Coturnix japonica: one gene and its partner. The protein of the gene in region 1 purifies or fractionates together with the protein of each later gene. This does not show direct contact. Links are inferred from orthologs where the notes say so. Each region holds a gene or a part of one and is shown on either strand. Other genes may lie near its edges.

What was found. The genes of interacting proteins can lie anywhere in the genome.
Region 2: the proteins of ANKRD46 (region 1) and ATRN purify together in Homo sapiens (co-immunoprecipitation; 3 studies listed by BioGRID and IntAct, with this or other methods). This does not show direct contact. The link is inferred for Coturnix japonica from reciprocal best matches to the Homo sapiens genes ANKRD46 and ATRN.

What each region holds. Positions count from the first base shown.
Region 1 is NC_029517.1:116,428,676-116,435,718, forward strand, and holds the start of ANKRD46 (ankyrin repeat domain-containing protein 46), read right to left. Parts: upstream 4,495-7,043; 5' UTR 4,396-4,494; exon of another isoform or gene 4,332-4,395; intron 4,327-4,331; exon of another isoform or gene 4,304-4,326; intron 4,107-4,303; 5' UTR 4,000-4,106; intron 1-3,999.
Region 2 is NC_029519.1:80,786,846-80,793,941, reverse strand, and holds the start of ATRN (attractin), read right to left. Parts: upstream 4,018-7,096; 5' UTR 3,915-4,017; coding exon 3,589-3,914; intron 1-3,588. UniProt on the Homo sapiens protein: Involved in the initial immune cell clustering during inflammatory response and may regulate chemotactic activity of chemokines. May play a role in melanocortin signaling pathways that regulate energy homeostasis and hair color.

The sequences.
Region 1 (7,043 bases):
TTCTTGTAAGGTTAGCATTGTTTAAGGCACTAGTATATTTCTTAAAACATTAAATGGAAAGCAAGGAAATGCTTACATTTTCAGTGAGTCTGCTACAAAACCTTGGGGGTGCAAAGCCAGAACTGCCAGCTGACAGCGATTTCAATTTTCTTGCCCACTTTGCACCCAAATAATAAATGAGATCAGAACGTTTCAACTCTGGGAGTGCAATCCCTGCTCAGAAAAACACCAGGCCCAATTTCTGCATGGTGTGGCTGTCACCTTCACTTTCTGCACTAAATCTTCCCTAATGTAAGACCATAAATAACACAGAAACCTCCAATTATCAGCATGTTAACAGCATCTCAACAGCACAAAACTCTACTTGTACTTGATAAAATGATCGTGGCTTGCTTACAACGTAGTGTTTGAGTGACTAAACCTCTTCAATAAAAAAAGGCCTAACATATATCAACAACAGAATATTATACTGGAAGAAAAATAGGCTATTTGAGAAACGGTGTGGTACGCTCTGCTAAATTCAGCTCGTGTTTATATTTTCATACCAGATGTGTAGGTCTGGTAAAGCCCTCCAGAATTTCCTGTCACTTCACACACACAACGGTGATTAAACATAAGCTAATAATAACACCAGAAATCCCCTCACCGCTTCTCAGGAAAGGAAGCACAAGGATTCACAGGGACCAGGAAGTGCAACTGCAAATATTTCCATTCAGATTTTATTGTTACTACGATATTTGAGAACTCAGCACTGAAGAGCGGATGACTGAAGTGAAATCTCAGGATTTCACAGTCAGAAAAAACAGTAACAAAAGAAAATAACCCTGCTGTGAAGATCTAATTAAGTAGACTTCGAAAAACATCTGAAGCGTGATTCTCTTTAAATTGCTTCTGAAGGTGAATCAGAAAACAAGGCTGAGCCTACGTGGAAGCTGGCACACTTCCACACTCATGTCACAGCTCAATTCAAAAGGCAGAGCCAAATGCAAGTCTTCTTACTGCTGAAACTTCTCAATTTGCACCAACTGTGGATGGTTTTATTTCACAGAAACTGCATGGTTTTGCCTCATTAGGTTCAACAGTTACCAAACTGCTCCAGAAGAAGGAGCTACATTGTTTGAGCCAGCTCTCCACCACCACAATATGAATGGACTTGATGAGCTGTAATTAATCACCCAGCCACTGCTACACGACTTACCAGTTCTGCAAAACAACACTGTGCCCAAGAACATCCAGAAAATCTGAAGTAATTGTCACTTCAGAATAATGGCACGATGTCAACTGGCACAACAGTTGATGGTGCTCAGTATTAAGACAAACACACCTAGAATTCACGTGTCAGCGGAGTGATCAGCAGAGAAACTGCCACTAACAGTAAATGGAAATGTAACATCAAGGACAAATAACATCTTCCTCATGCGGCCTCAGCAAACACATCATGTCTTGGGTCCGTGTTTCAATTTGCTGCAGATCTTGCAGCAGTCTGTTGGGAAAGAAGCCAACCCCAACTGAGCAACTCACCATCCACAGCACGAGCACTATTTGTATCTAGAAGAATGCTGCCACCAAGTGTACTGAGTGAAGTTATGCATCGTGATGGATAACCCTGGATCCACGCAGTCTGGCTTTTCTAGATTTTATGGTGTTTCCTTATTTCCTCAGAAGAAAAATCACAGAAATCACAGGCTGGTAAGCCAAGCAATGACATCTTGTAGTGAGGAGCCCAAAACTGAACACAGTATTCAAGATGCGGCCTCACCAGAGCTGAGTACAGGGGGATGATCACCTCTCTGCTCCTGCTGGCCACACACTATTTCTTATACAGGCCAGGATGCTGTTGGCCTTCTTGGCCACCTGGGCACACTGTCGGCTCACGTTCAGCTGAGCATCGACCAACACCCCCAGGTCCCTTTCCTCTTCACATTCATCCAGCCACTCATCCCCAGGCCTATAGCGCTGCATGGGGTTAATGTGGCCAAAGTACAGGACCCGGCACTTGGCCTTGTTGAACCTCATCCCATTAACCTCATCCCAGAGATCCAGCCTATCCATATCCCTTTAGAGGGCCTCCCTGCCCTTGGGCACATCAACACCACGTCCCAGCTTGGTGTCATGAAAATCGGGAAATCAGTTTATCAAAGCAGCACTGATAAATGATACACTCACAGCTTCCAAGGAGTTGAAATCTCTATCAACACACTGTGATTTTAAAGAATTAACTGAGCCATGCTGGACCATGTTATACGTTATGGTGAGATGGAACGGTCACACTACTCAGGCTGCATTCCTAATGAATATCTGCTGACGTTGTTTTTCAGAAATAGCTACTTCAGAATGCTCGGAGTACAAAATTTCATCCATACAAACAAACCTGCAGTGCCAGCATCTGCATAAGTTTGTGTCTGAAGGGCCTGGAGGTGGGCAGAACAACAGGCTCCAAGCTCAAGGATAACTGGCAATCCTGGGGAATGACAGGAAGGCCACCCTTTGGCTCCTGGTCTGCACAGAGGCTGGAACCAACCAAGAATGTAATAGACAATGGTTGGAAGGGAGTGAAATGGCTTTGAAACTATAACTACGACATCTGGGAGAGAGACAGCTCAATTGCTGTTAATCAACAGCAGTTATATTCTGCTGAACCTAGAAACAAAAGACCACTGATACTGGTAAAACTTCTGCCTCAAGATAACTTAGCCCACAATTTCATAGAGGCTCAGGATTCTTTTTACCCTAACTAAATCATACCACAGTATTCAGCTACACTGAACTCCCTGTGTCACTGTATTATATTTTACTATCCAGGTCCCTTCCTCAGTTTGGCAATTCATTTTCTAATGAATTTCTCTTTCTAATTTTTCACCTCAATTTTATCTGCATGTGAGAAACCTTCTTTGTACCGTGACTGAGATCCTTAAAAGCCTCTACCAGGGAATTAAATGCTTCCCAAAAATCCAAGAAAGCCCTTATAAATCACATCACCTAAATCTACAACAATAGTCTTTAATCCTTAGTGGAAGCTGATGAGACTTAAAAGATTGTATACCTCTAAAAAGGTACCCAGCTTCAGGTAGAACCAGTCCCAAACAAATGCAGGCAGAGAAAGCGTAGGTGTACAGCTCTCTCTGCACTCGTCTGGCAAAGATGAAAGGCCAAGTGTCCAGGACCACCCATGGGAAAACAATAAATCGGGAGCCTCTCCCAAAACATGCTGCCATTTCTCTATCCCCAACCCATTATGCTGATCTGATGCAGTAAGAGGTCATGAGCATGCTGAACAATGTGTTATCTACACACGCTAACAGATTTTATAATGTGAAATTCTGCTGATGTAGCTGGGCTACCTGGATGTGAAAGATTTGCCTGCTGGTAAGGCTGCTGTAACTACAGCTCTGTTCCCTTAGCTTCAGGTTTCAGTTTGTATCTCTATAGTACTCTTCCAAGCAGCCCTTCCTTCCTGTACTCTACTGATAAAATTCCAATTGACCAAGTCCTACAGCACAGGTTTCTGTGAGGTACTGCAGGGGATCAGAGCCAAACTTTGGTCCCACGTACTTAGTGGACATCTCCTTTAAATGCTGAAGCAAACCCAAACAAACTTGAACTCTTCAGTACTACACATTCTTAGCATCATCACTAAATACTAAAGCAAACCACAACAAACCTGAGTGTTTCAGTATCTGTCCTTTTGACTTATGCCAAAGCAGCATCTCAATGTAAAATAATAACCAATAACTGAAGTTTGGTGCCACAGATGCATGCACTCAAGCCGACCTGTCAGCCTGGCATCTACACTGACAGCGTGACTATGGGTGGTCTTCAGAGAAAGCTGAACACACCAGGGCTCTTGTATTTCACAACATGCATATAAACAGATGCCCTCCAAAATACACTATGCCCACATTAAGTGGAGTATCTGGAAGCAGAGCACAAGCGAGATCATGAATGAGGCAACCAACAGACTCAGTGGAAGAGGAAAGAACCCTCAGAATCCCACCATACCTGAATCCTCAGCAGAGCCACTAGCAGTTCACTCTGTGGTCGACTGGGTGTCACACGTCCCCAGGCTGCAGATGAGGACTTCAAGGCCGCATGCATTCAGAAATAAACTGCACAAGAACAGAAACTGGGTCAGACGGATCATGAATACGTACAACTTCAGGCACTTCTTGAGATCCCTCTCTCTGCCTCCGCATCCTCACCCGCCCGGCAGTGCCCACCTCAGCGCTCGCGGTGCCACAACCACAGCGCTGCCCTGCGGCCTGCAGGCCGCCCGCCCGCCCCGCCTGGTTCTGGCGAGCCCTACCGCTCCCTCTGCCCGCACACGGACACACCGACACCCGCTGCTCCTTCCCCAGCCCGACGGACGCGATCTCCGACCCGAAAGCGCCGCGTTACCTGCCCAGCTTCGGCCGCTCCTCGGTGCATACAGAAGAGCGGAGAGGCGGCGGGGAGGCCGCGAGTCCCCCCTGGCGGTGGGAGGCCGCGCGGTGAAGGCCGCCGGGGCTGAGGCGGAAAGGGACCCTTTGGAGTAGTACTCTGATCCTGTCCTGGAAACACTACAAACTAACCTGTTTTGTGTATAAAACTATCCACTCCCATGTGCCTGAATCACTGTAATCAAATCTGGAGTGTTGTCTTCACCATCCTTTGAGGAACCCTGAAAAAACACTGGAGAGAATCACAGAATCACAGAATGACTCGGGTTGGAAGGGACCTCAAGGATCATGTAGTTCCAACCCCCCTGCCTGGGCCACCAAACATACACCTTTACTAGATCAGGTTGGCCAGGGCCCCGTCCAACCTGGCCTTGAACACCTCCAAGGACGGGGCATCCACAACCTCCCTGGGCAGCCTGTTCCAGGGCCTCACCACTCTCCTAGTGAAGAACTTCCCCCAAGAAGAAACAGCATAAAGGCAATCAGCCAAATCAGAATTAGCCCATCGGGTTCATTTTATACAGTATATAGGTAAAACAGTTTTCCTGCAGAAAGAGTAATTCCAGAAACAAACTCAGTGTAATACTTACAAGAGAATCAAGCTGCCAGCTTCTCAAGCTGTTAATTCCAAAGCTGACCTCTGGGGTTTGATCAGTAGGCAGTTCCATGCAGCAGTTAATCTTATTGCCAACACAGATGTCAACTGAGCAGCCTGCTTCTGTATGGTCACAAACACAGGAATAGAGCCACACATATATCCATAGAACTGTGCTTCTCGAATCTTCTCCAAGAACTGCACCAGAAAGAGAACTAAAATTATTCACCATAGAAACACTTGAAATCCACTGATTGGAAAAGAAAGGGGTTATAAAGAAAATACGTCAGATTCCTAATCCTCTTTCTCTGCTCCAATATAGCCATGCTTGATTCAGACAATCAAGCAATCAGTCTTGACTTAGAAAGGTGAGGGTTTTTTGTTTGTTTTTTTGGACCTGAATATGATGAGCTGAGTCTTCTGAATGCTTATCAGCCATGGTGAGAGGAAGAAATAAAAGTAGCCAGTAGATTATACTGTGAGTGACTATCCCAGCAGTTTGAATTTCATTTTAATTTCCTAAACTTATGCCAAACCAGAACACCAAGTTCTGGCAAGAGGAAGGCCATGCTTCACAGTCAAAGTTCTTGCTAACACTTGGGATCCGAGTTATTCCTTTGGGATATTTTAAAATGATAGTAGAGATAGGAACCTCCTTTTCTATTTGGTAGATCAATATCTAACAGGGAAATGGGAGACCTGGGCCCGCAGCTCAAACCAGTCCACAAAACTATGCTGTGATTTCAGTCACAACCTCTGGCATCTTTGCTCCAAAATTCACTCTTTTAATCTGTTTATATTGTTCCTAAGATACCATATTACCTTTTTAATGTACCATTTTATATTTGCTTTGTTTGTATGCTTTTTGTAGGAACTCAGGGTCTTGCATCTGCCCTTCTGCTGGCTTAATCTAGTTACTTTTTACTTTCTGGCCTGCCTGAAAAGATTTTTACGTATGTTAATTGCAGAAATAGTCAACATATTAGAAAATACATTCTTTTTCACATGCATAAGAAAAGACATATGAAAGCAGCTTTTCTCCCCAACCCCCTGCTTAGATGTTGGGACTAGTTTGCTCTATGCTGTTCTTTCCTCCTACATTAATAGTTCCCAAAGCTACTACAGCCTGACATACCTTGGTCCATCTCTGGTATCAACTACAGCATAACCGCAGCAGGAACAAGATCAGCTTAACAGCAAAGCAAGTTAAATAGTCAGTTATCTGAGCACCAACAGCTAGCTTGGGACAGGACATCTTAACAGAACTGGTAGCTTCAACTCTTAGCTTGCTAAAACCAATTAGCTTTTTACCTTTTCATTGTAGGGAGGAGTAAAACAGACCACAACCACAGCAGTGAGCCATTGAAGTGGCTCAGCTAAACTAACGGAGCCTCAGGGCACTGCCTGACAAACAGAACTTTGGCACCAGACTCTCTATCCCCAGGGTTTATCCTCACCCACAAGTCAGCTCAACTGTTTGCTGTGCATCCAGAGAGGCTGCGGAGCCAGCCTGGGATGAAGACAGCCCAGCAAATCCAAAAAGAATTGGTCAACAACTTATTTTTAGCTTCAGTTATCTCTCCAGCCCAGTTCATTTTGTCTCCTCTCACAGTTCTGTCATTGCAACTGAGGAGGAGACCAAGGTGTGAGGGAATGAAAGGGGAAGATGCTCAAGTAATTGCCTCAGGTATTTTGCTTATTGCTAAATAGAAGCGAGCATGTTAGAAAATAAGTAATATCTGCCCAAACTGAGCTGCAGTTTGCAATTTGGAATTCAAAATTCCCTTTTATATTGTCTTGTATGTGTATTCCCATTTGTGGTCATTGCAACGTGCAGGTATAAGAGTTAGGAGCAAAGTAGCAGCAAAAGCACCTCTCATGTTCTGAAAGTGAGAGAATAAATATCTTGCTGCAGTAAAGTTCTTCTTCACTTATGCTCTTACAGAATATCCTTCCCTCAAAACAAAGCTAAGCAGGATAGATATTTCTGCACTTAAACTATATATGGATAT
Region 2 (7,096 bases), on another chromosome or scaffold:
GTAATATTCTTTGGCCAAAGGAACTGCCTTACCGCAGACTCCTTCATAACGTTCAATCAGCAGCCCGTAACTGCCTCCATTAAATTAATAAAAAGGCCATTTAAAAGATACGCTCATCTCTGGTGTTTTCCTCCCCTTGTTCTGTTCCGCTGTTAAGTGCTGCTTTGCGTTTTCCATCTCCCACCCTAAAAATCAAACGAGTTTTACCAGGAAAGAAGCAGAACCTTTGGACACAAAACTCAGTATTGTGGAAACATTTGCTATCTGATTCTAAACTCCAAATATAACCTGTTCACATGTACAACCATACATCAGATTACCCAGCAGTAGAGTCACTGGTGCTGGAGTTGTACAGGAACCATGGAGATGTAGCACTGATGTGGTTATGGCCAAGGTGGGGATGGGTTGGGGATTTTAGAGGTCTTCTCCAACATTAATGACTCTGATTTCACAGACACAACAGGCACACAGTTACCTTTCCCAAAGGCAAGCACCCTGAATACAACCTCTAGCCAATAAAGCCATGTACAACAGCGTCACAGAGCCTGGGTTTTACTTCTTCAACAGAGGACTTCACAAAGCTTCACTTTCTGGGCTCTGCCTTTGACAAACTCAGGCGACTGCTTCCTCATCCTGAAGAGGGACATCTAAAGTCATTCAAACCTCAATCTTACACACACCCAAGTGCACCGTGAATCACAGAATCATTAAGGTTGGAAACGACCTCTAAGCTCGCCAAGCCCAATCCCAACCCACCCCTCCATGCCCACAGACCACACTGCCCAGTGCCACATCTCCATGGTTCCTCAACACATCCAGGGACTCCTCCACTCCCTGGGCAGCTGTGTCAGTGCCTGACCATTCTTTTAGAGAAGAAATGTTTCCTAATATCCAACCTGACCCCCACACACAGGCCATCACCTCTCATTCTATCACAGTTATCAGAGAGAAGAGGCCAACCCCCACCTCCCTCCAACCTCATTTAAATTCAACAGAGAACAATGAGGTCTCCCCCTGAGCCTCCTCCAGCTACAAGCCACCCCCCAACACAACCATATGGGAGCTTCTCCCACATCACTTTCCTTTCCAGAAGTCACAGCACACTGCATATCCTCAGAAAGAAGTACATCCCCAGCACTGGACTGCAAGCAATCTCCCCTTTGTAGGGTTTAAGAAAGGGAACAGTCCACCCCTGGATTGCTGGCCTTATTTCTAACCACACTGTAACTACAAAGACTTGCTCAGTGTGTAGAGTGTTCACGGGCTGCAGCATGAAGCCAGCTGCTCACATAGGAAGAAGTGAGGGTGAAGCACAAGCTACGTGACACGACAGCCCTGGCAAGCAACCTAAACCAGCCAAGACCCCAGATACAGTCATCACAAACACCCAGATAAAGAACAGAGTGATTAACATGCCGTATTTAATTACAATTCACGGTCGTGTAGATAAGCACGTGGAATACACCACGCTTACAAAGTAATTTTCACCTGCCCTCGTACTTCCTATTCCTACCTGCAGCATTTAATAAGCAAAGCTTTTAAAGCCAAGCTCTCGGCAGCCTCAAAAATAATTAGAAACCAAAGAAAAGCTGCAATGCCATTTGTGACAGAGGAAAGGGTGAGCTCAGTGCACACTGCAAAGCTCTGAGCACCGCTGAGAAACCCTCGCTGGCACTTTTCTCAGGGCTCAAAGTCTAAATAACACGACAAGGAAACCTCGATTCACCAACAGGTAAATGAAGGAGATGGAGTGAAGAACACGGGCTGATAATTTTCAGTGGTAATTTTTACACTGGAATCTGCGTAAAGAACGAACAAGGAGCTTCATCAAAACAGACAAAAGCAGCCTGCAGCACACGTCGACCAGCTCTTTTGTTACCCAGCAGCACTTTACATCGCTCTGCCTCTATTCAGATTTGGTCCCCTTCAACTTACAAATATCCTCAAGTGCTCGAGGAAGCTAAGACATAAGTAGCTATCTCCAAAAGCTCTCTAGATGAGAGGGAAATACTTATCACCACGCCGGCTATAAACACTCAAAAGGAAGCTTTCAGCTTCCAGAGTTTCCTTGGAAAATCCCTTTATGATCAGCTGCATCGCGCATCCATCCCATGTAAATACAAATGAGAATGAAGATAATTATAGATATCTGTACGAAGCTCCACTTCGCAAGCATACAAAGTGTTTTTCCTCGTGCACGCAGCTCCTTCTTCCCCCACATTTACATTAAGTGCTTTCCATAGGAGCTCCCCCAGAAGGCAGCACTGCCCAGGAGAACGTTTTCATTTCCTTCTTCCCCCAAGAATCAACCCTGCTGAGACTTCACCAAACACATGCAGACACACACTGATAACAGGTCACCATCTTACAGACCCTTCTGCTGCAAACCTAAGTGAAGCCAGGGTGAATTCCCAACCTATTTCCATGTGGATTTCCAATCTAGCAAGCTGTAGGACAGACACAGCCCAATTCAGCATCCCATTGCCACTAGAAATGGTCCCAACAGTGCTGGACCAGCACAGTCCAACCCAGAGATCACTCCTCAGCACCATATATACATGCTGTCTGAAAACACACAGGGCTGCTTTGCCAAGAACCACTTTTTAGCCATTTCTCCCACCCAAAAAATGTCCCAGCCTGGAAACAATCCCTGCACACCAGCCCCAATGCTGCTGGTTCAGTTCTGTCTTCAACCCCACACAAACCCATCCATCGCTCCCCTGTCCCTCCCCAAGAGCCAGCACTGCTCTTACCCACCCTAAAAGCTGCATCTCCCCCCCCGTGCAATCCTCTCTCTCAGCCTTAAGCCTTCCTGCCCCATTGCAACCTGCTGCTGGCTGGATCCTGCCCCTACCCCACTGCATTCCCCCATCAATCATCCCCATCTCACTCCCTCTCCAGCCCTCACATAAAGCAAACACAACCACTCCTGATCCACTGCTACCATCTCCCACTTCTCCCCACAGCCCTGCACCCACCTCCCACTGCTCCCAGACCTTGGTAGGAACACCCAAACCTCCAATATCCCCTTCTAACTCCACTACCAACCCTACACCTACACCCCACTGCCCTCATAATGCATTGCACAACCACCCTCAGAGCTTCACCACCTCCGTGAACCCCCAGACAGGCTCTTCACACCCTTCAACCCCACTGTGAACCCGTAGATGGGCTTCCTGCAACTTGGAAACACTGAAACCCAGCCCTCACACCCTATCAACCCATTTGCAAGCCACTAATTCTGCTCCCTACAACTCGTGAGCACCTATCGCTTGTTCCTTACACAGTGGAAGCCTCCGAACCCACTTCGGAGCCCCCAAATGGACTCCTGGTCCCTTGCAAACCCCTTTAAAACACACTTAATCTACTTATGCCTTGCAAGACCCACACCCAGACCTCAACTTGAGGCTCCCCTGCCCCCACACAACACCTCCTCGTGAGTCCCCACATTGGCTCTTTGTGCCTTCCGAGCCCCCTAATCCCCCCCCTCACACCATCACTCATCTGAGAGCCCACAAACGACCTCCTCACTCCCCAGCACCCCCTTGGGAGCCCCTTGGGATCCTATAGACCCCCCTTAATCCTCACCTGAATCGTCCCCCGCAGTGCTGGCACTGATCTCCCACCCAGCCGGGCTGACACTCGCACTGCCCGGTGCCCGGTTGGCACCGCCCGCCATTGGCACACGGTTTGTCGCATTCTTTCGCCGTTCCTCCATCCTCTTCCTTCTCATCGGCGGCAGCGGTGGCGGCTGGCCCTAATCCCGGCACGGCCGGTAATAGCAACAACAACAGCGCTAACAGCAACCTCTGAGGCCTCCCAACCCTCCAAGCCGGGCCCCGCCGCGCCATCTGCCGCCGACTCCGACTGCGGGAGGAGGGGCGGCCGGGGGGCGGCGGGACGACGAGGACCATCCGCCGCCGGGGAACCTCCTCCTCCCCGGGACGGTGGCCGACGAGGGGTGGGGGATGTTCCTCTGTTACGGTGGCCGAAGAGGAGGCGACGGGGATGGGAAGGAGGGAGGGGAACCGGGAGGCGCCGCCGGGCTGCGGGCGATGGCGTCACGGCGGGGCGGGCGGCTCGTCCCGCCCTTTACCTCAGTGAGGCCGTTGTGGGGTCGTCCGTTCGTTGGGGTTGATGTGAAATAGGTGTAGAAAGGAAGGAAAACTGTGGGAATCAAGTGTTGTTTCTGCATTTAGGATAAGATAAGAGTATTTTATTTCAAGGTCTCGTTATATAAGTGAAGCAATTTGTTGTTATTAGGTAGAAGTCGCAGGTATGAAGACTGCAGGTCCTGTCTGTCCAGCTGTCTGAAATAGAACTACTGGTTTTTGGTGCTGGATAAATAAGACCTGAGTAATAAAGGATCCAAAGAGGAGAAGTTAAAATAATTAACAATATGCCTGTATAAACTAGCAACAATGTATGTATTAATGTTTTGTTGTACAAAAATACAAGTCGTGACATACCTAAGGACTGGAATCACACACACACACCCCAGAATGGAAGAAGCTTTGAAGGGAATCAACATATCAATACGATAAGATACCGAGACATCGGTATCCCAGTCACTGCTGCCATCACAAGATGGTTTGGGTTGGAAAAGACCCTTAAAGGCCTGTCTGGTCCCACTCCCCTGCAGTGAATTGGGATGCTCACAGCTCCATCAGCTGCTCACAGCCCCATCCACACTGACCCTGGTCGCCTTAAGGGGTAAAAATACTTTTTCCTTTATATCCAAGTCTCATAATTTGGGTAATTAACACCTCGTTTCAACTATAGAAAATTAACAGCATCTGAGAAGTGTTTTGTGTTGTTTTGTTTTAATGGAATGAAATTTTGCTCATATTTTCCCCTATAAAAAGGGCCAGCAGGGTTTAGGTCCAGCAGTACAGAGTCACAACAAACCAGACACAAATTGCCAACTCACTGCCTTTAAGTGGTTCATTTGTATATACAAATCAAGCTACCAGCTACCTGTGCTGAGAGAGGCTCTTCAGTGGGAGCTTCAGTGTCTTCCAAGTAAGTCACCAGGGATACTGAAAACACAGGTATTGAGCAGATAGGAAAGAAAACAATCTTAAGCCCAACCTTAGAGCCTCCATCCTCTGCCCAGATCTGCCCACCTGTATTTATCAGAGGGAACAATTACTTTTACTTTCACAACGCCTGCTTGCCCCTCTCTTGCCAAACACAAGGGATGAAAGTAAAAACACTGATTGACGGGATGAAAATAAAAACACTGATTGACGCAATGAGAATAAACAGTCTGTTCACATCCTCAAGTCGAATTTCACTGCGTCAGACTTAGAGGAGAGCTTTTGTGCTACGTGGTTTGTAGCTACACGGTTTACATTGTGCTACATGGGGATTTTTTTCAACCTAAGCTTGTTATGACAACACAAGATGCCATCTCTCCTTGTATCTCTCCCTACCCTTTTCCTATAGCAGCTTGTTCCTTAAAATTGATAAATCAAGAGAAGAATAAATCTACTAAACAACTGAAGGAATCAGATGTGTGCAGGAGTGAGTCGGTTGGTTGGTGTTATCAAGCCAACTTCAGCTCTTAAATGAAGGGTTAAGAAGGATCAGCTCAGCTGTACGGGATCATCCGGAGCATGAGAATAGGGTGAAAGTGTTATCACATCAATGCACGCTGATCATTCAGCTCCTGCAGCATTCATCAGCTGCCGGTGGCCATTCTCAAATGCTTCAGAGAAGACTAACATCCGTCAGCGTTGCACAACAGGAGAAATCCTTTCCTGACCTTGTTAGGGATCACACTGTGCCCTGTTGCTATCCGGAATAAAACATTAACTGTGGGAGATCATTATTGTTAAATTAACTTTAATCTGTCCAGTTTTAACATGTGAATAACGTTCCCAAGGTCTTTTTGTATGTGTGTGTGTGTCGAGCAACTTTCCAACACACAAATATAGGTTGGAAGGGGAGGGGTTTGGTTATCTCAGAAGGCAAGCAAAGCTATTTTTGTTTTGGAAAGCAGAAATACTTTGTAATAGATGTACTAGAATGATTAAAACGCCCTTTCCTGGCAGCAGGAGCTGCAAGACAATGGTGTTTTTGCAAACCATGCGTAGCAAGAGGAGTGAATTGAGAGACAGAGGAGTCTCCTTATCACAGCAACAAAAAAAAACACAAGTCATCAGAATAACACTTGGGTGACTGTCACACAACTTGAAAACAAAAGCTAATTGGTAAGCAAGGGTTTATTTGGACGCTGATTGTAAGCAAGGCTGCAATGGGCAAGTAGCACTAGCACTGAGTTATAGTTGCGAGGAGCTGCACTCGCCCCTTTTTCACTCTTGCTGCCAAACTTTTATGACCCTGTATGTTGTCACTATACTTAAATTAAATACATATTTACTCTGCACATATTTGCACAGTGTCTAAGTCGAGTTGCTACCCTCTTCACATGCCCAATGACAGGATAGCCAGAGACACTCGTTAACAAACTGGCCTCTGGGGTGAAATTATGTCCTCGTTAAGAAGACTTCCATTGATATTAATAGGATCAGACCATCATTGCTGAGGGCTGAGTCAGGGTTGGGCTGGGTGTCTTGGGAGTGTAAACAACGGAGCTGCCCTGCGAGGCCGGTCCCTCGGCCTCTTTATCTCTGCAGCTCCATTGGGTCGAGTCACAGCAATACCTGGGGTCAAAAACCACATGAAGCCACAGCCCCAGCACCACCTTATAAATACATTTTTTTCCTTCTGTTCAGATGAGCCCTGCTGAAGGACTGAACTCCAGAATAACTCCCTTCCCAAGGGCCTGACACCAGCTGTTTCCAATTAGCTGCCAGCCCAGCGTCACCAGTTTTGCTATTCCTCACCCAACATGACATTCCCACCCTGTGTTCCCAAATCCTCCCTTCACTCAATGGCCTTTCCAGCTGCCCTTGCTAGACCTGGATCACACCAGTCCAACAGCGTGTCCTTGCTGCCCACCCTAACACCCTCCTTGCTCTACAAAGAGCAGGAGAAAGGAAAAGAATATCCATCCATCCATCACTGGGTATTAAATGTGGAGGTTGGTGGGGGGCAGAGTGTGTGTGATTGGAGCTTGATGATCCTTGAG